Linked DNA regions of Notamacropus eugenii. The protein of the gene in region 3 binds, or shares a complex with, the protein of the main gene of each other region. Links are inferred from orthologs where the notes say so. Each region holds a gene or a part of one and is shown on either strand. Other genes may lie near its edges.

What was found.
Region 1: KIF11 (region 3) and KAT2B share a complex: the UniProt entries of both Homo sapiens proteins name them as parts of the large chromatin remodeling complex. The link is inferred for Notamacropus eugenii from reciprocal best matches to the Homo sapiens genes KIF11 and KAT2B.
Region 2: KIF11 (region 3) and RBM10 share a complex: the UniProt entries of both Homo sapiens proteins name them as parts of the large chromatin remodeling complex. The link is inferred for Notamacropus eugenii from reciprocal best matches to the Homo sapiens genes KIF11 and RBM10.
Region 4: KIF11 (region 3) and MYSM1 share a complex: the UniProt entries of both Homo sapiens proteins name them as parts of the large chromatin remodeling complex. The link is inferred for Notamacropus eugenii from reciprocal best matches to the Homo sapiens genes KIF11 and MYSM1.

The regions. Positions count from the first base shown.
Region 1 is NC_092874.1:34,104,271-34,112,277, forward strand, and holds the start of KAT2B (histone acetyltransferase KAT2B), read right to left. Parts: upstream 3,020-8,007; 5' UTR 3,005-3,019; coding exon 2,669-3,004; intron 1-2,668. UniProt on the Homo sapiens protein: Functions as a histone acetyltransferase (HAT) to promote transcriptional activation. Has significant histone acetyltransferase activity with core histones (H3 and H4), and also with nucleosome core particles.
Region 2 is NC_092879.1:101,863,675-101,870,801, forward strand, and holds the start of RBM10 (RNA-binding protein 10), read left to right. Parts: upstream 1-4,117; 5' UTR 4,118-4,364; intron 4,365-6,538; 5' UTR 6,539-6,651; coding exon 6,652-6,668; intron 6,669-7,127. Other genes in the region: UBA1 (ubiquitin-like modifier-activating enzyme 1), read right to left, coding at 1,698-1,943. UniProt on the Homo sapiens protein: Binds to ssRNA containing the consensus sequence 5'-AGGUAA-3'. May be involved in post-transcriptional processing, most probably in mRNA splicing. Binds to RNA homopolymers, with a preference for poly(G) and poly(U) and little for poly(A).
Region 3 is NC_092872.1:209,280,288-209,287,342, reverse strand, and holds the start of KIF11 (kinesin-like protein KIF11), read right to left. Parts: upstream 3,016-7,055; 5' UTR 2,880-3,015; intron 2,703-2,879; 5' UTR 2,683-2,702; coding exon 2,606-2,682; intron 1-2,605. UniProt on the Homo sapiens protein: Motor protein required for establishing a bipolar spindle and thus contributing to chromosome congression during mitosis. Required in non-mitotic cells for transport of secretory proteins from the Golgi complex to the cell surface.
Region 4 is NC_092873.1:518,846,470-518,853,408, forward strand, and holds the start of MYSM1 (deubiquitinase MYSM1), read right to left. Parts: upstream 3,008-6,939; 5' UTR 2,967-3,007; coding exon 2,899-2,966; intron 2,383-2,898; exon of another isoform or gene 2,265-2,382; intron 416-2,264; coding exon 337-415; intron 42-336; coding exon 1-41. UniProt on the Homo sapiens protein: Metalloprotease with deubiquitinase activity that plays important regulator roles in hematopoietic stem cell function, blood cell production and immune response.

The DNA.
Region 1 (8,007 bases), on a different chromosome or scaffold from region 3:
GTCCCATGCTCTGCCCATTGGAGTTCCTTATAGATGTTATTTTTTTTTTTAAGGAAAGGGGAAAAAGTTAGGGGTGGGATTTGAGTATATCCAGAAATGACTATTCTAAAAACTAGAGGCACCAAACTTTAAATGTGTTTTGCCTGGTTCACTCTCAAAAAATTTAAGTCAAAATTTCCCAACTACTTCCCTCTAAGGTATCACTTCTCAAGTTGTCCCAAATTTGGTACACTATCACTGACCTAGATCTCTTCTACTAGTAGCTTGGGGTAGAGAGTTGACCAATTCACAAAGCTGGAGAAGAACTAGGGTGAAGGTCTGGAGATCTTTGCCAAGACACCATTCAAAAGAATTCTACCGGTACCCTGCAAAGCAGGTTAGTTTCTTTTTTCTAGGAGAGATATGGTAGGCTACCCTTCTTCTGAGGGGAGGAAAAAGCAGACTACAGGCTAAAATCAGTGCCTTGTTTTGCCTTCATTTGAGCCTAAAGAGGAAAATAAAAGTATCTCTCTTTCAGGAGTCTTTGATGGGTCTCCTCCCCTGCTCCTCCAATTCCCCATTCTTGATTGCTTTTCTTTCCAGACTGCCTAAGGGGCTGGTATTTTAATGGGTTCTAAGCTGTCCCTTCTGTCCTTTGTAAGCAGTGGCACTTAGAGGAGAATTAGAATCTTTTTAAGAAGTACAATAAATGACCCTTTTCTATATGCTGGACAAATCAAGGGCATTCGTGAGAATGCTGAATTATAAGAATGAGAGAAGCCCTTATAAATTCTCTTGGTTCTTTTGTGCATCTCCCTTACAGTCTAACTTGACATGGCTGGCATTTCTATCCTCACTGGCAATGTTTGAGACTGGAGGCTTCTGGAAGACAGGCTTTACGAACTGCTGAGTTGTTTGTGTTTGCTTTTTATTGCTAGCACCAAAACAGTCCCTGGAACACAGTAAGTGGGTGCTCCTAACAGTTTGAACTAAGATTCAAGCTTCAACTGGATTAAGATTCCATTTCAGTTAAGATTGTACCTAAAACTCTCTTAAGTACAATCTGAATTGAATGATGTATTCACACAGCTCTCAATCCCTCCAATGGTTTTCAACCTATCTTGACTGCCCACTACACTAGTTTTCTTCCCTGAAAAAAGTCCTAGGCAGAAAAAGAGCCAGAGAGGAAGCAGCTCTGCTCTGGAAGCCCCCTAATCAAGGTGGATTATTATTATTATTATTATTATTATTATTATTATTATTATTATTATTATTATTTTTGCAGCTACAGATCCCAGGTTCTTAAATTCCTGAGTTTTTAGTGGGGTAAGGGCCTTAGATCATCTAGTCCAACTCGCATATTTTTCATATTTGTTAATAAGGGCCACGGAGATTCCATGACTATCCAGTGAAGCTGCACAAAGTAGGCAATTGCTTGTTGATTAATAATAACTAGCAAATTCAAGACCTGAACCCAGGTCTTTCAAAACCTGGCACACACAGTGGAATTTAAAGTTTCAGACTGACTTTCAGCGTGAGGAGAAGTGATCAAAGTCTTCAAAACAGGAGACTGAAATAACGAACTGGAAAGAGAAGACAGAGAGTGATGCCCAGCACAGTTTGGCAGGAGGGCAGGGTAAACTGGGGAGAGAAGATTGGTCCAAGACAGCTGAACTCGGACATCGGAGGACTTTAAACTCCCAGAATCCCAACTCTTGACTATGTTTACCATGCAGTTGGGGAAGAGAGACGGCTAGCCTCTCAAATTAAGGTTGTTCTGTGAATACTTAAAATATGCCTGGGTTATCATTAAGATTAACAACTGTGTTCTTGGGAGGACCCAGCCCTACCATCCCACCACCAGCCCGGGCCATTCTAGGAAACTGGCCTCTGGCTCCCAAGTACCAGGCATGGGAGTGATTAACCAGAACACCCTCCCCCCACCCCCACCTGCAGCCACAGGCCCGCCTCCTTCAGCTGTCACCCTGTCAAAACAAAGACGACGGTGCCAAGGGCCACGGGCCTCCAGCAGCTCTGGGACTACGATCCCTACCCCGGGCCACATCTGGATGGAGGGGGCAGGGCAGGTCCCGGACCATCCACAGGGGCGTGGTGTGGCGCCCTCGAGAAAGGGGGCAAACACAGGAGGAGGGAAGCGACTTGTTCCAGCCAAGCCAAGCTTATCAACACGCCCAAGGGTCTACAAAGCAAACCCACCCTAATGCAAAGCTAAGGTGCGCTGGCATCCCGCTACCCAGCCCCCGAGCCCCCCAGGCTGGCAGCGGCTCCCCGCCCGGAGGAGCAGGGCAGGAGCGCACGGCGCGGCCGCTCGGCCGGGCCACTGTCTACACCGCCCACCCCTGGGGCGGCCAGTCGTCATTCCCCCCCCCCCCCCCAGCAAACATCGCCGCGGGCTTCGGCTTCTGCCCCCCCCCCCCGCGCCGTGCACGCGCGCACACACACACACACACACACACACACACACACACACACACACACACACACCGCACACACCGCACACACCACACACACGCACGCACCACGCAGGGCTCGGCTCCGACCCACCCGGAGCGGTCCTGCCGCGGGGCAGCGGGGGGAGGGGAGGGCCCGGGTGCGGGCCCCGCCATCGCCCGGGGGGGGGGCAGGGCGGGGCAGGGCAGCTCCCGCCCGGGGCGGACGCGGACGCTACCTTGCAGGCGGAGTACACGCCGAGTTTCTCCAGTTTCTTGGCCCGGGGAGCGGAGCGGAGCTGCGCCTTCTTCACCGCGATCCGGGCCGTGGAGGCGCCGCTGCCCGCCCCCGGGCTCTCGGCGGCGGCCGGCCCGGAGGAGGCGGCGGGGCCGGGGCCGGGGCCGGGGGCGGCCGCGGCGGGAGCGGCGGCGGCCGGGGAGCCCTGCGGGGGCGGCGGCGGAGGGGGCAGGGGCGCCGGCGGCGGCGGCTGGGGGGGAGGGGGCGGCGGCGGCTGCTGCCCCCCGGCCCCGCCGCCCCCGCCCCCGGCCGGCGCGGCCCCGCCGGCCTCGGACATGCCACCGCCGCGGAGCCCGGCAGGAGCAGGAGGCGGAGAGTGCTGGTGGCCGCCGCCGCCGCCAGGGTCTCCCTGGGCGCCTGTGGGCTCGGGGAGGGCGAGAGGGACCCTCCCCCTCGGGGCCTGGCCTCCCGCTCCGCTCCCTCCCCCTCGGAGTTCCCCTCCCCCTCTCCCTCCCGCCCTCCCTCCTCCCCCGCGCCCTGCGCTGCGCGGCTCCGCTGCGCTCCCCTTTGGCTCCGGGCCCGGCCGCCGCCGCCGCCGCCGCTGCCCCGGGAGGGAGGGCGCTAGCGGCCCCGCGGCCGCCTTCCCCGGGGTCTCCTCCCCGGGGCCCTACTGGGCTCCGCGCCAGCGCCCCGCAGCCGCCGCCGCTGCCGGGGACATGCTCGGCCCCGGGCCCCGGAGCGTGCGCGCGGGGGTCAGCCCGAGGCTCCGGCCGCGGCTCCTCTTCCGCTCCCCGCGGAGACGACCCGGGTCTCCCTGGGTCCCCGAGCGCCCGCGATGGGGGCGGGGCTGGGCGGGGAGCGGAAGGGTGGCGGGGCGAGGCAGGAGCCGGAGCTGGCATCCCCGGGCACCTGCCGGAGGCTTCGCCCCGCGGGCCGAGCTGGGTGCCCGGCGGCGCCTCTCCCCGCACACACGCACCCCGAGCGGGCCGGGCATCTTGCGCCGGGTCGGGGGCACCGCACAGCCGGGTGGCTCCTCCGGGCGCCAGCTTGCCCGCCCCGCGCTTCTTGTAGGAAGGCTACGAAAACTTCCTCGGCTGTTCCTAAACTGTGCCAACAGAAGGAAAAGTGCACTTTACACGAAAAAAGTTGGTCTTTTTGTCCCAGTGCCTGTCTGAAGTGGCCTTGACAGCGCCACATAGAACGCAGAGCTAAAGACTTAGTGGAACGTAGATTAAAAAATAACCTTTCAGAGCCTGTCCGTCAGGAGGGACGTGGGCGACCCTCCCGACTAAAGAGCCCAGAGAGGGCAAACCACCCGCCCAAGGACACACAGCAAAGTCAGGCGCAGAGCCACGACTACAACTTCTCTGTGTCCGTTTTTATCCGGTGACCTTTTCGCTAAACCCTCGCTGTCTGATCTTCAAGGGCTCACGATTCATTTGGGATGGAGACAGTTTTTGAAACGAGTTTTAATGGCCCTTCATTAATTAGATGGAACTGGGACATTTTATTGACTTTGCAGGTGAGCCGGTTTCTTTCCGACTTGCCTTTCCAATTTACTTTTAAAACTACTCATTATTTCTCTGGATCTTTTACAAGCACATAGTGTAGGACAGGGAATTTATATGAATATTTTAGCAGATTCTTTGCATTCCTTGAGAATTATAGCTAGTATTAATGTGGTGATTTAAGGTTTGTAGTGCGCTTTGCAAGTATTTCCATCATATCCTCTCAACAACCCTGGGAGGTGGGTGCTATTATTGTTTCCATTTTATAGATGAGGAGACTAGTGAGTCTTAACTCTGGAAAGACCACCAACTTTCCCATTTCAGCTTACTATCCTTTTCCATCCCTAACTCTTATTGTTCTTTTTTAAAGAGCTTTAAAAAAAAAAAGATTGTTTTAATAGAAAAGGAAATACCTTCCACCCCAACTTTTAAAAGGTAGTATAAAATTGCTGCCAATTAGAATGCATAATATAAGATGTTATGAAAAGTTCAAGGTTCTATTTCCTGGCTGATGTACAACACTTTACTTTTCAATGTTAACCAACTTACTGCGGTACTGAAGGCTATTGGCGTGTTCTTGTCATTCTCTGCACTGGCCATATGAAATTCTTCAGCTCACACATGGAGTAAGACTTCCTCCTATCAGGGATATGGCCAGACCACTCCAAAATCACTACAGTATTGACTCACCCTACACCTGACCAAAGTCAGTATGCATGTTTGAGGCTAGAAGCCACAGAGAAAGTTTGAGAGGCAGCCTGCTTCCAAGATAGAGAGTAGCTAAAGCTCAACAAGCCCATTTCAATCCACCCTGAAAGTCATTATGTTTGGATGGTGAATGATTTCTGACAGCTGAAAATGGATTTTCATTTTGACATATCTCGCAGCCTCAGAATGACACGTGATCGGAGGGCAAATGCCTGCAATCCAAGGCATGTAGGAAACGTATTAGGGGCTGAAGATACAGGGTGCAGCTTCTCTCCCTCATCATCATCAGTCCATAAGTAGCATTTAGGGAGTTGCCAGGTGATAAAAGCCTCTAGCCTCTATATTGAGGGCATTGGTTGAGAGCTGGAAGTTGTCATTGTCCAACCCTGCCCCATCCCCATTTTCTGGATGCTGATACTAAGGCCCAGAAATGCTAAGACACTTGCCCAAGGTCACAGGTAATGAGTTGTAGTCAGAGCTGAGGCCAGGTCCAGTGACTTCAAAGCCCAGGTTTTTTCCCCATTTGATTCAATAAACATGTTTTAAGCACGCGCTACTTATGCATTGTGCTAAGGTGTTGATCATAAATATGGAGGCTATTTGGGGCTTTCCAAAGAGCTTACAATGGGAAGAGGACAAAGTAGCCTGGTCTGGGATCAGAAAAGACCTCAAGCTTTATCTGAGTGGGAGGCCTAGCACTTGAGCTAGGCTGGGAGTGGTATTAATTCCTACTGGCAGAGGTGAAGAGGCAGTGCATTCCGGGTTTTGGGAATAGCCTGTTCAAAAGCAGGAGATAGAATATTCTGTGTGAGAAAATAGGATGGGACTATAGAGTTTTTGAGGGCAAGTGATGGGAAATCAGTGCAGAAAGATAGGCTAGAAACGGCTTACAAAAGGCTTTTCATTCCAAGCAAAAGAATTTGTATCTTCTTATATAAGGAACACGTGGAGGCTGATAGGTGCTCAATTGATAGAGCGCTGGGCCTGGAGTTAGAAACACGTGAATTCAAATCCAGCCTCGGGCGATAACTAGCTATGTGACCCTGGGCAAGTCATTTGACCTCTGTTTACCTTAATCAACTAGAAAAGAAAATAAGAAACCACTCCAATATCCCTGCCAAGAAAAGCCCAAGGACAGTGTGGTCCACAGGGTCACGAAGAATCAGAAATAACTAAACAACAACATAGGAGCACAGAGCTAGAGCTGGGGACCCTTAAAGGTCATTCCATCCAACCCTCCAGTTTATAGATGAGAAAACTGAGAGGTTAAGTGATTTGCCCAAGGTCACAAAAATAGGAAAATTCAGAGGCACGATTTGAGCTCCAGACCTGCTTCTTATCTCTGATTGTAAGAAACTGATGTTTCCTATTTATCAGTGTTGCTGAAAGAAAGAGAACATGAGTAGGAATGAGGTGTGAGCCCTTAGGTAGGAGAGGATCAGCTTCTGATGGGCCAGAGCTGCCAAACAAATGCCAACCCAGGGAGAGAAGCATTTCTCCATCTTTATAATGGGACCATAGCAAAAAGAGCTGGGGAAATCTTACAAAATTCTCTGGTCCAACCTTTTTGTTACATATGAAGACTATTGATGCTTTGAGAAGTTGAGCCTCCCCCAAGTTCACACATTTAGGAAACAGCGGTCAGAATTCCAAGTGAATCCAGTTCAAAAATTATTCTTTGACATGAAGTATAGATAATATGAATATACCCAGAGAGCAATAGATAAGTACCCCTGCCACAGCACAGCAGAGAATTAGCCTTTGAGTCAGAAAGACAAGTTCAAATTCTTCCTGTGACAGATATTAGCTGTGTGGTCATGAACAAGTCACCAACTTGTCAATGCTCCAGCATGGTATGGCGATGTCTTTCAATTCATGCGTAAATTCGATTTAAGTGAGGCAGAGTTGCACAAATTCTCAGGCCTCCCTCTCTCCTCCAGTCATTATCTTTGACTATAAATTATTGATCATTTATCACTTCTCTGAGGTAGAGGGAGTTTTCACACTGGAAGTACCACACAATAATTAAATCCCCTCCCAATAAAGGCTGTTTCCATATGAAAAGAACCTTAGCCCTGGATATCTGGATCCTAGGAGAATGCAATATCATTTGCATACCTGGTACAATGGCCTCTACTTCTTTCTTCTTTCTTTCTTTCAATCATTGAATCACATACAGATAGCCTCAATATGGAAACTGGCAACATTAACACTGAATGGGATAAAAAACTGTTTGTTTTTCCAAATTCAATTCAAAAAGCATTTATTATATGTGATGTCGGGCTCTCGGAATATAGGGTATAAATGAAAAGTCTCTCCCCTTACCTTCCATGAGGAAAACAACATGTACCCATGTAAAAATATACAAAATATACATATGTATGTGTACATACATATGTGTGTGCATTATAAATAGGAAGTCTCATCTAAATGCTTTATCTTTAAAAAAAATACAAAAGAATTTAAGGGAATTTGGAACTACTATTCCATTGTTTAATGACTGACTCATTGAAAAGTAAAATAAAAAAAAAATACATATATACAAAGAAATCCTATATTAGCTCCAGAATGGCATGTTCAGTTCCAAGTGGGCTATCTTTGCTCCTATTTCAATCTCTCTCTGACCCAGTTTAAAGATAGCCAATCTCTCTCCCATCCCCCAGATTTAGGCACCTCTGTGAAACAGATAATTTGGCCTCAGACAGCTGCTGTGACTCCTGGCAAATCATCTCTTTGCTTTCAGACTCAATTTCTTTATCTGTAAAATGAAGATTATAAAATTGCCTATTATCAATATGAGGTCAAATGAGAAAACATATACGTGTGTATGTATATTGTGTATGTGTGTATACATACATACATATGTTTATATACATGCATGTACATATACACAGAGTTAGCCCTTCATCACAACTTTCCTTTGTGGTTTTGATATATCATGGGTCATCATAAGAAATTAAAAGGAATTTTTTGGGAGTTTTGTGCAGATGACAGAAAAAGTTTAGAAACTCAGAAATGCATAAAATTTATGTGTAGCATTATATAATATCAACATATTTTATCTTTTCATACCATAATAATTCAGACTTCTTCTCTGATACTGAGGGCCCAAAAATTTCATGAT
Region 2 (7,127 bases), on a different chromosome or scaffold from region 3:
GCTGGTCCTACTGGGGGTGGAAAGGAGAGAAATATGAGAGCAGAGAGGCGTCCTGGGCAGGCAGGCAGGAGGATCAGGACATCTTCTTTTGGGCAGGGTTAGAGAGACACAGGAACAGATGGGGTCAGTGGGTAAGTCCAGGGGGCCCATCACGTTTGTGGGGAAAGTAAGCCATCTGCCAAGCAGAGCGGTGACACAGAGTAGGAGGGGGGAAAGAGGAAGCACCATTGTCCTGATTGGCCAAGGCTGTTGTCCTTCCTTTAGGGTTCTTCTCCCACTCCCTCGGGTGAATGTGGGGGGCAGAAAGGCCAAAGAGGCTTCCAAACCAACAGAATGCCAAGAAAGATGGAAGGAGGAAAGGGGAATGAAAGGAAGGCGCTGTCCAGGGTGCTCCTTGGTCTTATCTGGAGTGGCTGCCGGTAGGCCCGCCACCCACCCGCCCACCCATCCACCCAAGGCCCCGGCGTGGAGAGAGTGAAGAGGCAGGATTGATGCCCCCTCCCCCCAGCACCTCCGGCGGCCCCACCCCTCCGGCAGAATCCCGGGTGGGGCCCGACGATACAGTGGCCCCGCCCCCGGGGGGGGGGTGGAGAAATCGCAGCGGGAGGGGGGCTGGTGAAGGGAGGCAAATCCCAGCTGGGGGGGAGAGATCCCGGCAGTCTGGGGGGAACGGGAGAAGCGGCAGACAGTGGGGGGGGGGGAGGGGAGGAAGTAGACTGCGGGGATGGGGGTGGGGGGAAGGAGAAGAGATCGCGGTAGAGGGGAGGGAGGCCGGCAGCCGAGAAGGCAGGCCGGTTACCAAGGCCTGTTCCCCGGGGCCCGATCACCGCAGTCGCCGTCGCCGTCCGGTGCTCAGGGAACTCCCCCCGCCGCCACCCAAGGCCAGCCCCGGCGCCTGGAGTCTCAGCCCCTCCACGGGCTGCTTCGGTCCCAGACACAAGATGGCGGCCGCCGCCGCAGAGCCGGAACAAAACCCGCGGGTGGCTCCGCCCCCTGACGCAGGCACCGCCCAGTCCGAGGCCCGCCCCTCCGCCGGCCGGCAAGCCCCGCCCCCGTCCCAATTCCTCGCCCCCGCCGCAGGCTACAAAGCTGGCACATTCACCGAGAGCAGGGTTCCGGCGGCTTGGGGAGGGCACAAGCAAGTCTTTCCCCCGATCTCTTCGCCCCAGCGCCCGAGCCAATAAACGTGCGCCCCCGTCCTCACCCCCAAACTGCTCCCGCCCTCCTATCTCTGAGTGACACTGCCAGGTACCGCGCCAGGCCTCGCTCAAATCCTCTAGCAACGACGCCTCGCGCCTGCGCGCCCCGAAACGGGCCAAAGCCTACCCCTCCCCCCGCGGACCAGGCGCAGGTTCGCGCACGCGCCAGCCTGCGGCCCGTCCGCCCAGCTCGGCGAACGCCGGCATCCCTCCTCCTAGTCAGCTAAAAACGCACGCAATACCCGGTGGGGGGAGGGGGGAAGAGAACAAACGCACCTCCTACATTAAGACCCGGCCCAGATTGCCCCGCCCCTCCAAGAAGTCCAAATGGGGGCAGAGGCCCCGCCCCTAATGAATAATGGTCAAAAAAGACCCCGCCTCCTACGCCCGGGCAGCCACACAAGGACGAAACTCTCATCACTACCCCCCCAACTCGTGCCGTTTCATAAAAGCTCTCCCTGGGTCCCCTCTACGCCAACGCCAAGTCTCTCAACTCACCCCCTCCTCAGGCCCGGAGCCGCCGAGGCCTAGCCTTCCCCTAGAGCTGGAGGCGGTGCTGGAGCGGTAGCCAGAGCTAACTTTGCTGCTGCCGAGGAGCCCCGGCTTGCGTAGCGATGGGCTGAGCGCGGAACTTGGGGTCCCCGGGCCCGGAGCGGAAGGTACTATTTGCGTCAAGGGGGAAGGCTCACCCCAAATGCGACTCTCGCGGCCTATCCCCTGCTCTGACATTCGAGTGCACCCCATTTTCACCTCATGTCCTGTCAGCGTCCTAGTTCACATCAGATTCTGACTCTTTTTCGCCCATTCCAGAAAAAAACCGGCCCCAAAGTTACTGAAAGAATCCCCTGGTGGAGCACACGTGGTACGATCCAGGCTGGTCGCCGTTGCGGAGCCTGCTGGGAATTGTAGTTCAGCCCGCGCTGGCGCTTGACTGGAGCACGTGGTGAACACTATCCTAAACTGGGCCAGGGTGGGGAAGAGGTTTAGACATCTGTGGCGGAGACAACTTCCTACAAGGGCGCGAGCATTAGGGAAGGCTGGGAAATAGGGCGGGACCAATTTTGAAAATCATTCGTGGAGACTGACTGAGTTAAAATTCAGGTTCCAGAGACATTGACAGAAGTGGGGGGAAGGTACCTAGAGTTAAAGCTAAAGTGGGGCAAACCTAGAGTCTAAAACAGAAAATGGATGAACAGACACCGGTACAGAGACTAAAATGAGAGCAAAGATCCAGACACAGGGCAACTAGAGACTGAAAACCTGAAGGGAGGGGGGGAGAGGGGAAGAGACAGATCTAAACCCCAAACTTCTCTGCATTATGCGTTTGAGATATTTCCGGGGTTCTGTACTGAGTACAGATGACAAAGGTAGGGTTTGTCTGAGAGAGCAGGTAGAGTAAGACTTTGGACACCATCCAGTTCGATCCTCTCCATTTTAGAGATGGGAGCTTAAGAGATCTGTGGGTGACACGGTATTGTCTGTCTGAGGTAGAATTTGAACTCAGGTTTTCCTGATTCCAACTCCAGCATTCTACCCACTGTGCCAGCTACCTGCCAGATGAGAAATCATAGATTTAGAAATGGAAGGGAAGTTTAAAGTCATTGTATCAAACTCCACCATTTTAACAGTTGGGGAAAGGCACAGATGCCAAAAAGGTAATTTACTTGACCAAGGTCATTGTGTTCCTTCGTTGCTGAAGAAGACCATGCCACCAGAGAAACGATGACGTGACTTGCCCTTGACTTTGTTTTGAATGAGAGAGGGCTGTGCAGGTCACCAGCCTCACATCTCCTCCAGAACCATTGGAATCCTGGGTCATCTTCAGTCATCCTGAGGAATGTCTGGTCACTGGATTCATTAAAGGGGCCATGCCCTGGCTACTGCTTAAACAGTCCTATTCAATGAATGGGCATTAGTTCACCCTAAGTGAATACCTGCAAAGACCTTGGCCTAAAGGACCCAAGGTCCTGGGTCGTCTCCAAGATCATACCAGCAGTGTTAGAGGCTATGATTTGAACCCATGGTTCTTTGACTCATTCCTACTCCAATTCATCTTCCTCGGACTCCCGCCATGTATGCTCCATAAAAGAATCTCTCCAATGATCGTTTTTCTAAGAGCTTTCCTCAAAAGTTTTCCTTATTAATCATTTGGAGGGTAGAGATACTTCACGGTGTGGGTTCTTGCACCATGGAAGGCCTGGCTTTTCAGTAAGGTGCTCTGAAAAGATCGAGCCAACGGTCTGAGGACCAATATGCTTTACAATCCGGAGGAGCTCATCTCCAGTAAGTGTACTATTAGGCTATGGACTCCTTTTCCCTGTGCCTGGGACACAGTGCCTGTCACATAGTAGGCACTCCATAAGTGGCTGTTGACCTGAACTGAAAACAGTGGAGAGCCAAGAGAGACAAGGCATAGTCTCTACCAAAGTTCCTGAAAAGAACGACTAGGCATAGAGAACGTAGAAGGCAGGGGGTCAAGCCAAGCTAAGGAGTTTAAACGGAAGTGCAGCAGCGCAGCACGACCATTGTCGCTTTCTCCAGTGGCGCCAAAAAGGTCTAGTTGGAGCACGGTTCCTCCCTAATGGGCAAAGGGGCGGAACCCACTCGACAGTCTAGTCCCCCTCTGCCTTCCCCCCACCCCCGCTGGAATCACGTGAGGCGGGACTCCACCTCCTTCCCCCATGGACGTGGTGCAGGTTCGGCCAATCGCCACGCCCTCTGTGGAAGCAAGGGGCGGGACTCGGCGACTCAGCGCGGAGAATGCTCGGGAGGGGGCGCAGCAGCCCAACGGAGCGCGCCGGGGCCCGGGCCGGCCCGGGCCGGCTCGCGCCTGGGCTGCTGGGCCGGGAAAGGGAGGGGCGGGGCGAGGGATGGGCGGAGCTGCCGCCGCCGCCATCTTCGCTTGGTAGTTTGGGGCCAGCCAGGGGGAGGCAGCAGTGGGTTGCCCTGGGGCGGAGAAAGGGGAGAAGGAGAAGGAGAAGGAGGGCGGCGGCGGCGGGGGCGGCGGCAGCTTCGCCGGAGTCGTAGCCGCGCTTTCCTGCGGGCCCGGGCCCGGCCCCACTGACGGCGGGCGCGCGCGCGCGTGCCCGCGAGGGAGGCGGTAGCAGCGGCGGCGGAGGCCGGGTGATGTGCCCGAGCCCTCGCCTCACGGTCCGGACCCGGCAGGTGAGCGGGCCCGGCGGGGCTCGGGCTGGGCCGGGGACGGGGGAGGGGTCGGGGGCCCCGACCCGGCGGCGGCCACGGCGCCGGAGGCCCCCCGGGGGTGGGAGTGGGGGGGTGAAGGGGGGGTGCGGAATAGAGGCCGAGTCGCCGAGCGGGCGCGAACCTGAGCGAGCGTGCGCGCTCCCGGCGGTGGCGCCGCGCTCCTCTCCCCCTCCCCTCCCCCCGCCGTCTTTTCCCTCCTGCTCCCCCCTCCCCTTCCCCCAGCCCCCTCCTCCCTCCCCAGAGGCTGCGGCCGGTCTGGGGAGGATCAGATGGATGAATGACAGGAGCAGGCGGCTGGAGCGGGTCCAGATCGGGGAGGGCAGCTGGCATGGCCGCTCCTCTGGCCCGCTGGCCCTGCCATGTGCCAGACCCTGCCCCCGCGGGGCCCTTTCCCCTAAGCCCGGCTAGGGCAGCGCTGTACCTTGGGGGGCCGGCCAGGGCAGAGGTCAGGCTGATCGGGGGTGCCCCAGAGTGGGCTGCTCTGGCCCTGGGTGCCCGTAGCTGCTTCCTACCCCTTGCCTGGCGGCTTTTGAGAAGCCCCTTTATTAGCCTCACCTGCTGGGCGTAGGAGAAGACGAGGCAGCAAGGCCTTCAGCCCCGTCTCTGGGCCCCTGCAGTCAGGGCAGCTGAGCCTCTGTGTTTTCCGACAAGTGGAGCTGGAAGGAAAGTGCTGTGTAAACTTACCAGCTGAGCTCTGGAGGCCTGAGGGGTGAGGGCCATTCAGGACCTGCCTAGGGGGCGGGAGAGGGGATTGAGGGCAGAAAGGAAGGCACCTCCCAAGGCCAGGTGGCCTTTGCTCGCCCCTTTGGGCCACACCTGGCAGCACGATGGGCCAGGCCTCGGTCTTGTCCTCATAGAGTTCCCAGTCCCATGTGGCCCCAGGTTCTAGGGCAGCCTTCTCAGAATTCTGGCTTTACAGAATAGTAATAACTGAAAATAACAAGGGAGGGTCCCCCCCCACCCCCCAGTCTGGCCATGGAGCCCGGAGTTAAAAACCCCTGTTGTTCCAGAGGGGACAGGTGCCGGAGTTAAATATGTTTTGAAGGACACACAGGGGAGGGGTGCACAGGAACCTTCCTCCCCCACCAGAGGCAGCAGTGATCCTGGCCCTCACTCCAGAGTACAAAGGGGCAAAGCATCCAGATCAAGGAAAAGCAGAAAAGACTTGGGGGCCAAGGCTGAAGCCAGGGAGGCAGCATGGTGGCCTTGACCTTGGACTCTGGCTGTTCTTGGCAGCTGGGGGGCCCTGAAAGTCATATCCAATATTTCTCAGGCCTTTTACAATTCATTCACATGGACCCACACATCCTCCCCAGCAGCCCCCTGAGGTATGGAGTGCAACTAGTTCTAATCATCGTTTTATACAAGAGCAAACCAAGATGCAAAGATGCTTGGATGTTCTCAGCCAAGATACAGTGGCAGCTCTGGCTCTGACTCCTCATATCTCTCTCTCTCTCTCTCACTCTCTCTCTCTCTCTCTCTCTCTCTCTCTCTCTCTCTCTCTCCCTCCCTCCCTCCCTCCCGCCTTCCCTCCCTCCCTCCCTCCCTCCCTCTCTCCCCCTCCCTCCCCCTCTCTTCCTCTCTCTCTCCCCCTCTCTCCCTCCCTCTCTCCCTCCCTCTCTCTCTCCCTCTCTCTCCATTTCCCTCCCTCTCCATTTCCCTCCCTCCCTTTCCCTTCTCTCTCTCTCCTTTCTATCTCCCTCCCTCCTTTCTCTTTCTCTGTCTTTCCCTCTCTGTCTTTCTCCATCTCTTTGTCTCTCCATCTCTCTCTCCCTCCTTTATCTCTCTCCCTCCTTTCTCTTTTCTTTCTGCCTCTCCCTCTCCATCTCTTTGTCTCTTCATTTCTATCACTGCCTCCTCCCTCTCTCTCTCCCTGTCCCTCCCTCTCTCTCTCTCTCTCTCTCTCTCCCTCCCTCTTTCTCTCTCTCTCCCTCTTTCTCTCTCTCTCGCTCGCTCTCTCTCGCTCTCTCCCTCCCCCTCCCCCTCCTCCTTCCCACTTTCCCATTCTGGAGACAATCCAGATTGACTGCTGCTAGTTCTCGTTTTCTTCCCCTGTACCAAGGGTTAGGTAGCCCGCCCTGCCTGGATGGGCTCAGGCTGCCCCTGACCTCTCCTTTTTCTTTTCTGTCCCTCAGATCCCTCACGGGAGTTCTTGTGCAGGCTGGCGGAGCATGGTGGCAACAGCAGGGCTGGTGGCAGCTGGGAAGTGAGGCGGAGCCATCGGCCCAGGAGCAGGCCACCCCCAGACATGGAGTATGAAAGACGGTGAGACTGGGGAGAGGGCTGTCCCAAAGTGAGAATCCTTTGGGCCCTGGCAAAAACAAGGGGCATCTTTTCCCCTTGATTTTTCCCAAGGTTGACTTTGGGTTTTGGCTGGAGAGGGGTAGGGTTCCAAAACTGAATGATCTGGGATCATAATATTTTTCTTGGAAAGAGATTCAGAGACCATGTGAGATAGTAAGGTCTGATCCTGGCTACCCCCCATTCCTGAGACTTCTTGGCACTGGGCAGTAGCTATCTTTTCTAGAAAGCTCTTTGTACCCAGACAAGCCACCTTGGGCCAGTGCCATCATTCCCCCAGGATGCTCCAACACAGATGACAGGGCTCCGAGGAGCTTGACTGGGCCTTGAGAGAGAGAGGGCAGAGCAGGAGGCAGCAGTGCTGTGTGTCAGCTCCTCTGCCTGTCCCCAGCTGCCTTTGGCTACATGGGCATGTGATGGCTC
Region 3 (7,055 bases):
TTCAACCATTCTGGAGAGCAATTTAAACTATGCCCGAAGGGCTATAAAACTACGTATACATATCCTCTGACCAAGCAATACCAGTACTAGGTCTGTATCCCAAAGTGATAAAAAACAAAAAGGAAAAGGACCTACATGTACAAAAATATTTATAGTAGTTCTTTTAGTGGTGGCAAAGAATTGGAAATTGAGGAGATATCCATCAACTGAGGAATGACTGAACAAGCTGTTGTATATGATTTTGATGGAATACTATTGTGCTTTAACAAATGATGAGCAGGATGCTCTGAAATGAGCAAAAGTAGGAGAACATTATACACAGCAGATGACACAATATTGCTGTTATTATGAATAACATAGCTATTTTTAACAATATAATGATCCAAGACAATTCTGTAGTACTTATGATGAAAGGTGCTGTCCATCTCCAGAGAAAGAACTGGCAGAGCCAGAATGTAGATCAAAGATACTTTTTCTTTACTTTCTTTTTTTTTTCTTGTTCTTTTGTCTGTTTTCTTTCACAGAATGAGTTACATGGAAATGTGCTTTACATAACTACACATGTATAACATATGCCAAATTACTTGCCTTCTCAAGTCAGGGGGTAGGGAAGGAGAGAATTTGTAACTCAAAATTTGAAAAAAAAAATGTTAAAATTGTTTTTACATGTAATTGGGAAAAATATTAAATAAAAGTTGGAATTTAACAGGTGAAGAAGGAAAAGGAAAACACTTCCTGACCTAGGAAACAACCTAAACAAAGATACAAATGTGGAAGGTAAAGGTGTATCGTGGGGACTGAGTAGTTCAATATGCATGAACCACAGGGCAAAACCATGATAAGTCAGTCTTTTACTTCTGTCTAATCAATTCTCTATCAGTGAGGATTTTCCAGACCTACTTTTTTATTCAAGCCTCCCACACCATCTCTTTCTCAACTGTCACAGTCAAGGATCTTGCACCATATTTTACTGAGAAAATAGAGATTGTGTACTACGAGTTTCCTATTTTTAGCTTTTCTATATCACTACACCTTAAAATAATATTATGGTTTCTCTACTCCAGTACCTGTTGAAAAGGTGGCCAACCCTACTTGATATATATCCCTTCCCTGATTCTTGCTCGCAGTAGCATCCCTTCTCTACCCAATCTTCAATCTATTTTTTTTTTAAATTCTACCCCTTATACCTATAAACACTCACTAGACTCTAACATTCTCTCAAGTCACTATCCTTTGTCCTTGGCTTTTAGTCTTATGTGATATAACAAGACTAATTAAAAAAAGGTGATTAGTTTCATAAGTAATACGTGCAATTTATTACATACTTCAAAGGGAATAATAGCTAACATTTATACAGCTCAAAAATTATCTTGTTGGATCCCCATTTTACAGTAAAGGAAACTGAGGCAAATAGAGGTTAAATGATTTGTCCAGGATCATAGAACTGGAAAGTGTCCTGAGGCTGAATTTGAATGTAAGTCTTCCTGATTCTGGCACTCTAGCCACTATGAGCCATCTACCCACTTCATATTTTAAGTCAAAATATGCACCACAAATGCCCCTCCATTCTGCTTCAAACAAAATAAACTGGTCCTACTATGTCACTCTGGTACAGCAAAAGGAGCCCTGACTTTGGAGTCAGGCAACTGTGGTTCAAATCTGATGTTTGCTCCTATGTGTGCCTCTAGGGTCACTTAACCTGCCAGAGCTGCAGCTTCCTTAACAGTAAAACTAGTGGTTTTTCAGTTACTACATTAAGAGAATTACATTAATTAAGAGAACACAGATAACAATGAGGAAGCTGAGGCTTCAGTCACTTGCCCACGGACACAAAGCTTTGGTTGTAATTCAGTCCTGTCTGACTTCCTGACCCCATATGGGGTTTCCTTTGCAAACAGGGGTTTGCCATTTTCTGCTCCAGCCCATTTTACAACGAAGAACTAAGGCAAAGAGAGTTTAGTGACTAGTCCGGGGTTACACAGCCAGTAAGTGTCTGAGGCCAGATTTGAACTCAGAAAGAGGAGTCTTCCTGACTCCATGCAGGGTACCTTACCCATTTCACCACTCAGCTGCCCTTAAAATGGTAATCACACACACACACACTCTCTCTCTCTCTCTCAAAGGTTAGACAATCAATCGATAAGCATCTATTAAGTGTGTACGTCCTAGGCTAAGTGCTGGGACAAAAACTCCAGCTCCAGCTCCAGCACAAACTGTCCTTAAATAAACTAACCAAAGGCACTCAATAAAAGTCTCCAACAGCACCACAATCGGGCAGCGCCGACGGGAGGGGAAGGGGATCTGGCCCCGAACGTCCCAGGAGTGGCAGGCAGGGGGCCGACCCGACAGCGCCACAAACGCGTAGCACTTGGGAGCGTCCCCGCCGCCCTTGGGAAGCCAGATCGGATCAGCTTCAGTTGACAGACGCAGCAGAGGCACCCGGGCAGGTGTAGGCCGATAAACATCCTGGGGTTTTCCGGGGTTCAATAACAAGACGCGCGGGCTCCAACGCAAATGTCAACACTCGCGGGCCCCCAAGATGCCGCCGGGCTCTGGCCCCACCTAAGGACACGAACCCGCGGGGGTGAGATCTCGCGTCTCCTACCTGCATCTCACCACGACCTGGATGTTCTTTCCTTTCTCATCCTTCTTCTTGCCAACAGAACTCGGCTGAAAAGCCATGACGAGACTCGCAGAGGAACCTAAAACCGGGCCGAGAAAAAGCAAGGGCGGGTCAGGGACGGACCTCGAGGCGCGTACGGCTCCTCGGCTCCACCCGGGCCCGTCCAGGGAGCGCCCAGCACCCCCTCCACCAGCATCCCGCGACCAAAGAGGCCGACGAGAGTCCCACCCGCCCAAGACCCCAGCGGGGCTCTCACCTCACTCTGGGTCCCCAGACTCAGAGAAGCCGCTCGTTAACGCCGCTTGGGACCAGCTTCCTCCTCTCCGGGGCAGAACAAACGTTCACGCGCCACGATTTGAATCTTGGACGTGGGATTTCTCCGGACCAATCACAAGGGCCCCGCGCTCAATGCGCCATGGGAAACTGATTTAAATTAAAGGGACCGAAGCAGGTTACAGATGGAAACAGGGAGGAAAAATGGAAGGAGGAGAGGAAATTTTTAAGGTGATGTAAGCCAACTGCATCGTTGTGCTTTGCGATGCTTACTGTGAGAGACTCCTGAAAACAAAGAGAAACCCAAGTGAGTCAGCCCTTCCACCCAGGAGCCAAGAATTTTTCTCTCTTTTTACTACAAGCCCCAGCGATCAGTGCGGCAACTTCCGGGAAATTGCGTAATTGCTGGATTTTTTTTTTTTTCCACTGCCTACAGATCCCGGCCTGCACTGTGCGCCACCGGATTTCCGCTTGCCTTTGTCCCATCTTCCGGATGCTGAGACTGCCGTTTGAGATTTTTGCGTGGAGCGGCCAAAGGCTACTGATGAAGTGAAGGTGTGGGGCGGCGCTTGGTTTCTCAGAGGGCTTTCGTTTGCGCCGCAAACCGAGCGTCTCCTTCCATTTCTTCCGCAGAAGGTCCCAACAGATACCTGGACTTCCCGGGGAGAATCTTCTCACCACGTGCCTTTTTTTCAGCCTCATTAATGTAAAATTCCTGCCTGTCCGGTCAGGGCCTTCCTCCGCTTGGGTGCGATCGCGGGAGAAGCACTGTTGTAATCTAGGCACCTGTGATCCATATCCAGCCTCAGTTTCTCCTCTGAGCTCAGTCGCGAGTCGCCAGCTACCTAGTGGCTATTTCCTACTGACTGTGCCCCCTAGGCGTCTCCGACCGCCGCCCCAACTTCCTTGTTTCTGATAAGGGACCATCCTCCCGTAGCTCCCCGACCTGCGTGCGACTTCAGGGTCTTTCTTGACGATCCTTCTCTCCAGCCTTCCTCCCCAGTGAGTGAATAGCCCCTCAACACCACCTCCAGACCTCGCTCAGCCACCTCTCTCCATTTGAGGTTCACTTTATCCAAGTTTTTCATCCTATTGAAAGCCTGGTAACTGACTTGCCTTCATTTCTTGGTGAGTTCAGTACCTGTCTCACAGGCTCTCTTTCCATCCCAACTTCTGCCTTTATCCCAGGGAATTTCAACAAATATGTTGTAATGTGACCTCACACATAGTAAACTAGCAGTTCGGTCTTCTCAACTCTCCGTGCCCTATTTTCTCCATTCTATCTTAAGTAAACACAGGAATGGTCATGCCCTTGATCTTGCTATCACCCCTATGTTTCTCTTCCACTGTCAAGAATTCTGAAATCCCTGTCTCTGAGAGTGACCTTTTTCTTCCTAAACCGATCCCAACTCATGGCAACTCCTCTAACTCAGCATATACTCACTCCCTCCCCATATTTACCCCTTAGATAACCCATCCAACAGTACATTACCTCTACTGTGGAATTCCCTGTCCTAGAGATAGATACTCAGATACTCCTGTCAAATCCCAACTTTGCAATGAAGTTGGAGGAGGTAATGTAACTACAATGACTGCATCCACTACCAGTTTATATTAACTGATGTCAACTAGACTCTCACTGCAGCAAGGCAATCCTTTTACTCCTCTCTTATTGTCTACCCACTCACTGCAGCAGATATTCTGAATCTCTCCTCAAGCAGAATTCCCTTTCTCCCAGCTCCTCAGCAGAAGTCGTTACCCTATACAGTAGGGTCCAAAGAAGAAAAATCAAGGCCTTACAATTTGACTCTATCTTCCATCCTTCTTATCTCATAACCCTTTGACATCCCCCATTCTTTCTCCCTTTACTCCAGGCTCTATTGGGGTCCTTGTGGTTCTTGCTGAAGCTAATCTTTAGCTAATACATGTCCCTTGATCCCATCACCTCTCCATCTTCTACAGCAGATTGCCCCTACTATCCCTGTCTTTAACCTTCAATATCTCCCTACTAGTTTTTCTTTTTTGTTTCGTTTTTTTTCGTTCTAGTGCTTTTTCCTTTTTGTTTTGATTCTTTCACAACATGACTAATGTGGAAATATGTTTAACATGATTGTACATCTATAATCTATATCAGATTTCTGTTTTGGGAAGGGAGGAGGGAAAGGAGGGATGGAGAAAAATTTGGAACTCAAAATCTTACAGGAATAAATGTTGAAAACCATCTTCACATGTAAATGAAAAATAAAATACTATTAAATGAGAAAAAAAATTAAAAATAAAATCCCATCTTGTTTCTTGGGACAGCTAGGTGGTGTGTGGATTGAGCATGCAGCCTGGAGTCAGGAAGACCAGAGTTCAAATGTGACCTCAGACACTAGCTGTGTAAACCTGGGCAAGTCCCTTCACTGCTTCATTTTCCTCAAAATCTGTAAAATGAGCTGAAAAACGAATTGGCAAACCATTCCACTGTCTTTGCCAAGAAAATCCTAAATGGAGTCACAAAGAGTCAGACACAACTGAACAACAACAAAAATTAGTTTTTTCCCCTGCTTCCCACAGACATGCCCATATCTTCCTAAATCTTAAAAAAAGAAACCCTTACTATATTCTACCATTTCTGCTAGCTATGATCCTGTTTCTTCTTTCTTTCTTAGCCAAAATATTTGAAAAATCTATATACATTAACTTCTTTTCTCATCTATTCCAAACACTGAAATCTGGTAGCCAACTTCATTACTCAACTAAAACTACTTTCTTCAAAGTGATCTCTTAATTGCCAAATCTGGTGATTTTTTTTCTCAGTACTAATCCTTCTCTGCCTCCCTACGGCATTTGAGACAATTGAACACCTCCTGAATGCTCTGTCATCTTTGTGTTTTCATGATGTTCCATCTTCAGACTCCTAATATTTTAACTGACTTGCCCTCTATACCTGGAATGCTATCCCTCTTCATCTCTGCATCTTGTCTTCCCTTGCTTCTTTCAAATCTCAGCTAAAATCCAGTTTCCTAAAGGAAGCCTTTCCCAATTCCCTTTAATTCTAATGCCTACCCTCTGTTGATCATCTCCTGTTTATCCTGTATATAATACATAATTGTTTGCATGTTGTCACCTCAATTAGACTGTGAACTCTTTAAGAATAGGGAATTTCTTTTTCCTTTTTTGTATCATAAGCACATAGTAAGTGCTTAACAAATGCTTATTGACTGCCTTCTCTTGGTTCTTCTCCTCTTAGTCTAACCATTCCTTCTCCACTTCCTTGACTGGATTTTCATCCATGTTAGATCTTCAAGAATCCGTACTGGACCCCAATTGATAAATGGTCAAAGGATATGAACAGGCAATTTTCGGAAGAAGAAATTAAAGATATCTATAATCATATGAAAAAATGCTCTAAATCACTATTGATTAGAGAGATGCAAATCAAAACAACTCTGAGGTACCACATCACACCTATAAGATTGGCAAACATGACAGAATAAGAAAATGATAAATGCTGGAGAGGATGTGGGAGAGTTGGAACACTAATTCATTGTTGGTGGAGCTGCGAGCGCATCCAACCATTCTGGAGAGCAATTTGGAACTATGCCCAAAGGGCTACAAAAATGTGCATACCCTTTGACCCAGCAATATCACTTCTAGGACTGTATCCACAAGAGATCATAAAAATGGGAAAGGGTCCCACATGTACAAAAATATTTATAGCAGCACTCTTTGTAGTTGCCAAAAACTGGAAGTCAAGGGGATGTCCATCAATTGGGGAATGGCTGAATAAATTATGGTATATGAATGTAATGGAGTACTATTGTGCCATAAGAAATGATGAACAAGAAGACTTCAGAGAGGCCTGGAAGGACTTATATGACCTGATGCTGAGTGAAAGGAGCAGAACCAGGAGAACTTTGTGCACAGCAACGACCACAGTGTGCGAGAGTTTTTTCTGGTAGACTTGGAATTTTGTAATAACGCAAGAACTTCTTAAAAAAAAAAAATCCCAATGGTGGTTCTCAAGGCAAAATGCCTTCCACACTCAGAGAAAGAAATATGGAAGTCATTCGCAAAATGTAGCAGACCATGTTTGTGTATGTGTATGTTTTTGTGTATCATGTTTTGATTTGTTATATGATTTCTTTCATTTATTTTAGTCTGACAACATAGC
Region 4 (6,939 bases), on a different chromosome or scaffold from region 3:
GCCCTGTTTTCAGCACTGATGGTATTATCCAGAGTCCAAGGCTATTAAAAGAGAAAAGAAATTTTTTTACACTAATTGATTTGAGAATATCTTCCATGATATATCAGATATAAAAGTGTGATGTCTAAGTGAAACATCCCAGCATGACCTTCTTCAACATCAAAAGACATAAGGTTTCTTATAGAATTTAAACCAAGGAAAATCTCCTAAGGGTGTTATCTACAATGGCTGAGAACAAGGACAAACGCAGAAAAACATGGTATTCCAAGATACAAAGCATCTCTCATGTGCATACTGTGAAAAGCAAATGACACAATCTTCTTATAAAGCACTTACAATGAGGCCATTATCAGTTCTCCAGGTGGAATCAAGGTAATGATCTTGCTGTAAACCAGAGGCTGTATTTTCATGGCTTCTGTAATAGATAAGAAAATGGGCACAAAGATGCTTACAAAAGGGAGCTTGCTTGGGGACTCTCTTGGGCTGCACCATGCCTGACAGCTTCCTCTCACTGCTTGTGATGTAGCAGCTGATCTGGTCTGTGGGCTTTGGACCAGCCTCCACAGCCAGAAGCCAGCCCTCCACACACGCTGGGGCCTCCCAAAGGGAACTCTATTCACACAGATGAAGGGCTTTTCTCACAAAGACAACCACAAGAGGTGGCTATTAGAAGTCCACCCATCCCCATTTCAGAGAGGAAAATGCAGTCAGTTAAGTGCTGGAGCCCAGACTCAAGGGCTGCTCCCCTTGCTGTTCCATCATGACTTATACGATGGTATTAGAAGATGAGCACACAGCAAAGGCTGCTGATGACAATTTGAGTGTTTTTAAAGCATCAAGAACACAGACCCATTACCAACAGGTCATCTTCAAGCATGACGAAAACCAGAAATGTCAGAAGTGTGACGTGTCAGCCAAAAAGGCCACCGGGATCTGATGCCTGCAGAGTCCCACCATACTTGGCCCTAGTCAGACAACATCTGGAGTACAGCGTTCAGTTCTGAGAAGCACAGTAAAGGAGGACACTGGGAAGTTAGAGTTGTCCAGAAGAGGGCAAAGATCCTTGAGTCCAAGCCATGTGAGAGGAGAGGATGAAGGAAGGAGGTATAGTTAGCCTGGAAAGGAGGAGGCTCAAGCAGGACATGAGAGCAGTCTGTAAGCATTTGAAGGCTGGCCATCTGAAAGCGCAATTAGATGGCTCTGTTTTCCCCAGAAGCAGAACCCAGAGCTAGGAGACAAGTTGGCAAAGGGGCCCATTGAGGCTGGATGTCAACAAAGGCTTCCTAACAAGGAGAGCTGTGTGTGGCCCTGGGCAAACTGCTTAATCCAAATGGCACCGACTGTTTCATCTGTGAAATGAAAAGGTTAGTCTGAGTGTTAGTTCTGGATCATCTACTGTGTGACTTCAGGCAAACTTCTATGGGGGGGAGGTGAGTGTGTTAGCTTATACCTTCCAGCTGTAAATCCCCTGATTCTAAGATTAGAACCCATATCTTCCAAACCTTTGGCACCCAAACCCCCTGTTAGCTGGGACAGCTTTGCATGCTGCCATGGCTGGGGCCAGGCCAGCCTTCCCTCAAACTGTGACCTGGGATTCCAACGGACCACTGAGATTTGAGTGCCCTTCTCCAGGGCCAGGACAAAGGGCCTGAGGGTAGGAGCTGGAATGGATGTAATGAGGATCTCAGAATCTGGGGGCTTTGACTTGAGTTCTAGCACAGAGCTGCTGTTCAGCTGTTTCAGTCATGCCGGACTCTCTGTGACTCCACCTGGCAGAGTAACTGCCATTTCCTTTTCCAGCTCATTTTGACAGGTGAGGAAACTGAGGCATTCAGGGCTGGGGTGAAGGGTCTCCAAGCCTGCAGCTCTGTCCACCGCCACCCAGATGCCGCAGCAGATCATGGACAGGACCAAAGGGACCCTCACCTGCTAAAGGACAACACTGGACTAGACAGAACTAGATCGCTCTCAGGCCCATTCCCTGCGCTGACACCTTGTAACCCAGGACCACTTGGAGGGCAAGCCTCCAGATTCTCTAGGGTCGTCCTTCCTGGCTCCTCGGCAGAACTGAACGCAACACCCCTGAGGGCGGCTCTGCTACGTTCCTGGCTGTGGGTCACCAGCCCCGAGAGAAGCACCGGACACTAAGGGGGCTCAGCGTCCGCAGCAGAAGTCGTGGAAGCGCTCCTCGGACCCCCAGGACACTCATCCTGGCAGCAGAAAACCCCCAGAGGGGCGCAGAGAGGAGCCACAAGTCACATTACCGAGGGCCTCAGGAATACTCCAGAGGAGCGGCCTGACGGGCCCCACCGGGACGGGCCCGGGAGCAGCCCCGCGCGGAGGCAGGACTGATGAGGGCGTCTGCGAGGCAGGCTTCAGAGAGCAGGGGAGGAGAGAGGACACCAGGCCCCGCCCCTCCGCGCTGGCCACACCCCCTGGGCTTGCCCCGCCCCCTGGTCTGGCCCCGCTTCACCCCCCCCACCCCCACCCCAGGGCGGCCCCCTCAGCCACGCCCACACTGACGTCACCAGGAGGACCCAGGACAGAGCCATCCCTTCATTAGGCACCTGCTGTATGCCGAGGGGTGGCCAGGTGGAGAGGGGGGACCCCAAGGGCGCCTCGCTCCCAAGGGTCACGAGAAGGGCTAGGAGAGCGGAAGGGGCCTGCCTCAGTTTCCTCATCTGTAAAATGGGCCCTCTCTGGGGTGAGCGGGGCCCCCCCATCAGTGTAGGATAGGGGAGGGGGCCGGCCCGAGGGCACGCGTGACGGGCACACCAGTGGGATCTTCCCATTTCACTGGCGGAGAAGGGGAGGCCCGCTCGGCCCGCGCGCCCCGGCGCCGCCCGCCCCGGGACCGTGACCCCCCGCCGGCCCGCTCGGCCCCAGCCCCGGCCTCACCCGCATGGAGGAGGAGCCGCCGCCCCTGGGTCCCCCTCGATATCCACATCCGCCTCCTCGGCCGCCATGATTGTGACTCCCGACCCCGCCGCGGCCTCGCGTGACCTGGCTCGAGATCCCGCGAGACTTGAGAGACGCGATGACGGAGGGAGGGAACGTCACCAGAGAGGAGGCGCGTGCGTAGCGTGTTTGCGGTTGGGGGCGTGGCCACAACGGGTCGGGGGAGCGGCCAGGGGCGGGGCTATAGCTCGGGGGCGGGGCTATGGGCAGGGCTGGAGCTCAGGGGCGGACCCAGAAGGCGAGGCCACGTGGAGGCTGGAAAGCTCTGGGGTCTGGAAGCCGAGGACCGCAGGTGGTCTCTGATGTCCCCCCACTCCCCGACTGGTGATGCTGTAAACTGTGCCACGGTGCTGCCTTGAGAGCTTGTAGATTTGGAGCTCACTCGTTTTAGTGTGTTTGCCATTAACTGTATTTCTGATTGGTAATCAATCATTTCATTTAGATTTTGTTTTTTCCACCCAAAACCCGCAATTATTTTTATTTCCCACCCTCACTATAGAAAAAGAGAAACAAAAACAAAATTCGTAACAAATCTGCCTGGTCAGGCAAACCAGCTCCCCACGTCTGCATCCAAGCATCAGTTTTGTCCTGTGGTCCCAGGGGCTCACCTTGGACCATCCAAGGTCCAGGGGAGCTGGAGGAGGGGTCAGTCCAGCTGCCTCATTTTACCGTTGGGAAAACTCAAGCCCAGAAAGACTGACTTCAAATCAGAGCTGGAAGGTGGTCCTCTAATGGAAAGATGAAAGAACCAATTCCCAGGAAACTGAAAGTGAATTAAAATCATAGATTTGGAGGAAGGATTTCAGAGGCCATCTGGTCATTTTACAGATGGAGAAACTGAGTCCTTGAGAGGGGGAGTGATTTGACCAAGGTGGGGGGGGAGTAATAGTCATAGCTGAGATTTTATATAGTGCCTTAAAGTTTACATAGTCATAAATCCCAAGCTGGAACAGATCTCATCAAACTCCCATCTTTTTCCGGTGGGGAAACTGAGGCCCAGAGAGTCTTGCATAGGGTCACAAAGCTGACTCCAGTCAGAGTGTTTTTCATATCTAGAACTAAAAGGAGACTTGCAGATTGTGACAACCCCCTCATTTCACAGATCAGGAACAGAGGAGCTGTTAATCAATCAGGCAATACATATTTATAACATAGGATATTTGATATTATTATACAACACATAACATAATATAGAATAATAACGTGAACCTATGACCATAAACGGACTTTACAGACTCTGTAAATGTGACCCTGGGCAATGATGATCAGAATGATCTGAGCAATAATAGCCAGCATTTATGTATCACTTTAACGTTTGCAAAACACTCTACATATATTAATTAACTCATTTGATCCTCACAATAACTTGGGGAGGCAGATGCTGTTATCACTCCCATTTTACAGAGGAGGAAACTAAGGCAGATGGAGATTAAGTCCTATGCCCACTGTCTCATAGCTAGGGAGTGTCTCAGGTAGGATTTCAACTCAAGTCTTCCTGATTCCAGGTCCTGTGCCACCTAGCTATGATTTAACCTCTCTGGGGTTTAGTTTCCTTCTCTGTAAAATGAGAGGGTTGAACCTGATCTAGTTGTTAAGGACTCTAAAGCCTTGGAAATGGTTGGGTGGGATAAGTTTCAGTGGTTGGCTTAGCTGAAACTCCAGCTTTGTTGGAGGGCCAGCTCCTCTTCAACCCCCTCTTCTCCGTCTTACTAAGTAAAATTCCAGGGTGTCATCTGTGCCAGAAGTTGGAAAGAATTCACTCACCCCAGTGCACACATGTCAGGTAGGCCTGGGGAAGCTGCCCCTGAGGGGGAAGTAGAGTCATTCAAGAAGATAAATTTTATCCGAGGGAAATTTTGCTGAGCTGCCTGTCCACTATGTAGCGATCTCACTCACAGAAATGCTAAAATAGCTCTGAGGCAGAGGATCTCCATCTTTTTTTTAATATCATGGACCTCTTTGGCAATTTAGCATAACCCACCATGGTTTTTCTGAGAAAAATCATATTGGTGAATGCATAAAGTAAAACAAGATTCTAAATGAAACCAAAAGCTGGTGAAAATAAGCATGTAATTATTTTACTTTCTAAGTTCATGGACCCCCTGAAATCCTGAAACGAACACCTAAGGGAAGTATCTGTGTACCCCACCAGGAGAAAAGCCTGTTCTTTTAGGCACTGGATTATTTCATTAAAAAGCTGAGACCACTCTCCTGCCTCTGCAATTCAGGGAAAATACAGTAGATGGCAGGCGGAGCTCAGCAGAAAACCAGCAGATAATATCACAGAATTTGATAAAGCAGCCTGGAGGATGCTATCAGCAGCCGTAGGAGAAAGCAGCAAGTAGCAGTTTTAGAGGCAAGAGGTCTTTTAGTGAGGTCACAGACCTGAATGTATGAGGCCTTTTCCTTCTTATTTGCTTTGCTTTTCTGTTTTATTTAAATTCATTTCGCTTTGGTTAATGTGTAATCTGGTTTGGTCTGTTAAAAGGAGATCATGGGTGGGGGCTCTTGGACTGTGGCTTTACACAGATATTGACTCAAAGATCAGCTTGAACCTGGGGTAGCCTCCAGGTGGAGGAAGGTCCCACACTACCTTAAGGCTCAAGAAAATTTGGGGAGAGGGAAATCACTTTCAGCTGGGGAGACATGACATCTGAAATGAATCCTGAAAGAAAAGAATTTCAAATAGTAGAGATGTGGAAAGAATGCATTCAAAGCACAGAAGAAATGCCCAGTGTGGAGAATGAAATGAGGGAAAAGCCAGGAGCTTAGTTTGGCTGGAATGTGATGGTATGAAAATGAAGGTGCTACAACAAGGGCCAGAGAGTCCATGGTATTTGGTTCCATTAGCAAGGGAAGACAGGCCAAGGTAGACTAAAATTTCCAATAAGTTTGTGAGGAACCAGAAGGAATAAATGAATTATTCACTGCTTTTGGGTTTAAATCCAAGCTTTGCTATGTGATCTTTACCTGTTTGTAACTTTGATCTTGTCTTGGCCTCAGTTTCCTCATCTGCCAAAGAAGGGAGTTGGAACTCCAAATCCGCTGATCCTTTGCACTAACATTTCAGTAGCCCTTCAAGGTATAAAAAGACATTTCTTCCCAACAAATCACCTCTCATGGCCCCACCTTTACTGGTGAAATGAGATCTAAACTCTTTAGTCTGGCATTTATGGTCCCCTATATACAAAATGAGTGGGTTAGCCTAGCTCTTAGATCTGTGAGTTGCATCTATAAATTAGTCAGGTTAGTGGATGAGTTCTGGATTTGAGTCAGAAGCCCTGAGTTTGAATCCTGCCTTAGGCACTTCACCTTCCAAGGCAAGTCACTTCAAATTTTTGCAGCCTCAGGTTCCCCAAGTGTAAAATGGAGAAAATAATTGTAAAGGTCAGATGCGATAAGTGGAAGGCCCTATACAAAAGCTAACTATCATTGTCACCGTCACCAACCAATTGTCATGGTTCTTGCCATTATAATAGATGGGGAAACCGAAGCTTCCAGGGATTCTTATCCAGGTAGTAAGCGTCTATTGCAAGCTTTGAATCCAGGTCTCTTAACTCAAGTTTTGACGCTCCTTGCCAATATATTATATCACTTTTCTGTCCCTTCCCACAAGGCTTTTCTAGTCTGGTTGGCTAGATGAGCCATTTGGTACTGCTCCAGTAGAAGTCATCCATCACCTCCTTCAAATGACAAAGTGTACGATTGATGGAGGAGGAGGGGGAAAGGAGATTCTAGGAGAGGAAAATCTATGAGGAGGATGGTAATGAGGCTTCCCTGGAGCAGAGGATCTGTGTTAGTGAATATTAAGACATGAGCTTGGAGAGTGAAAGGAAAGCAGCAGAGCCTTGAATGCCAGACTGAGGAATTTAGATTTAATATGCAATGATAATGATAGGTAGCATTTGTGCAGTATATTAAGGTATGCAAAGCACTTGACAAATGTCATCTTATTTGATCCTCACTGTAGGAGACAGTTGG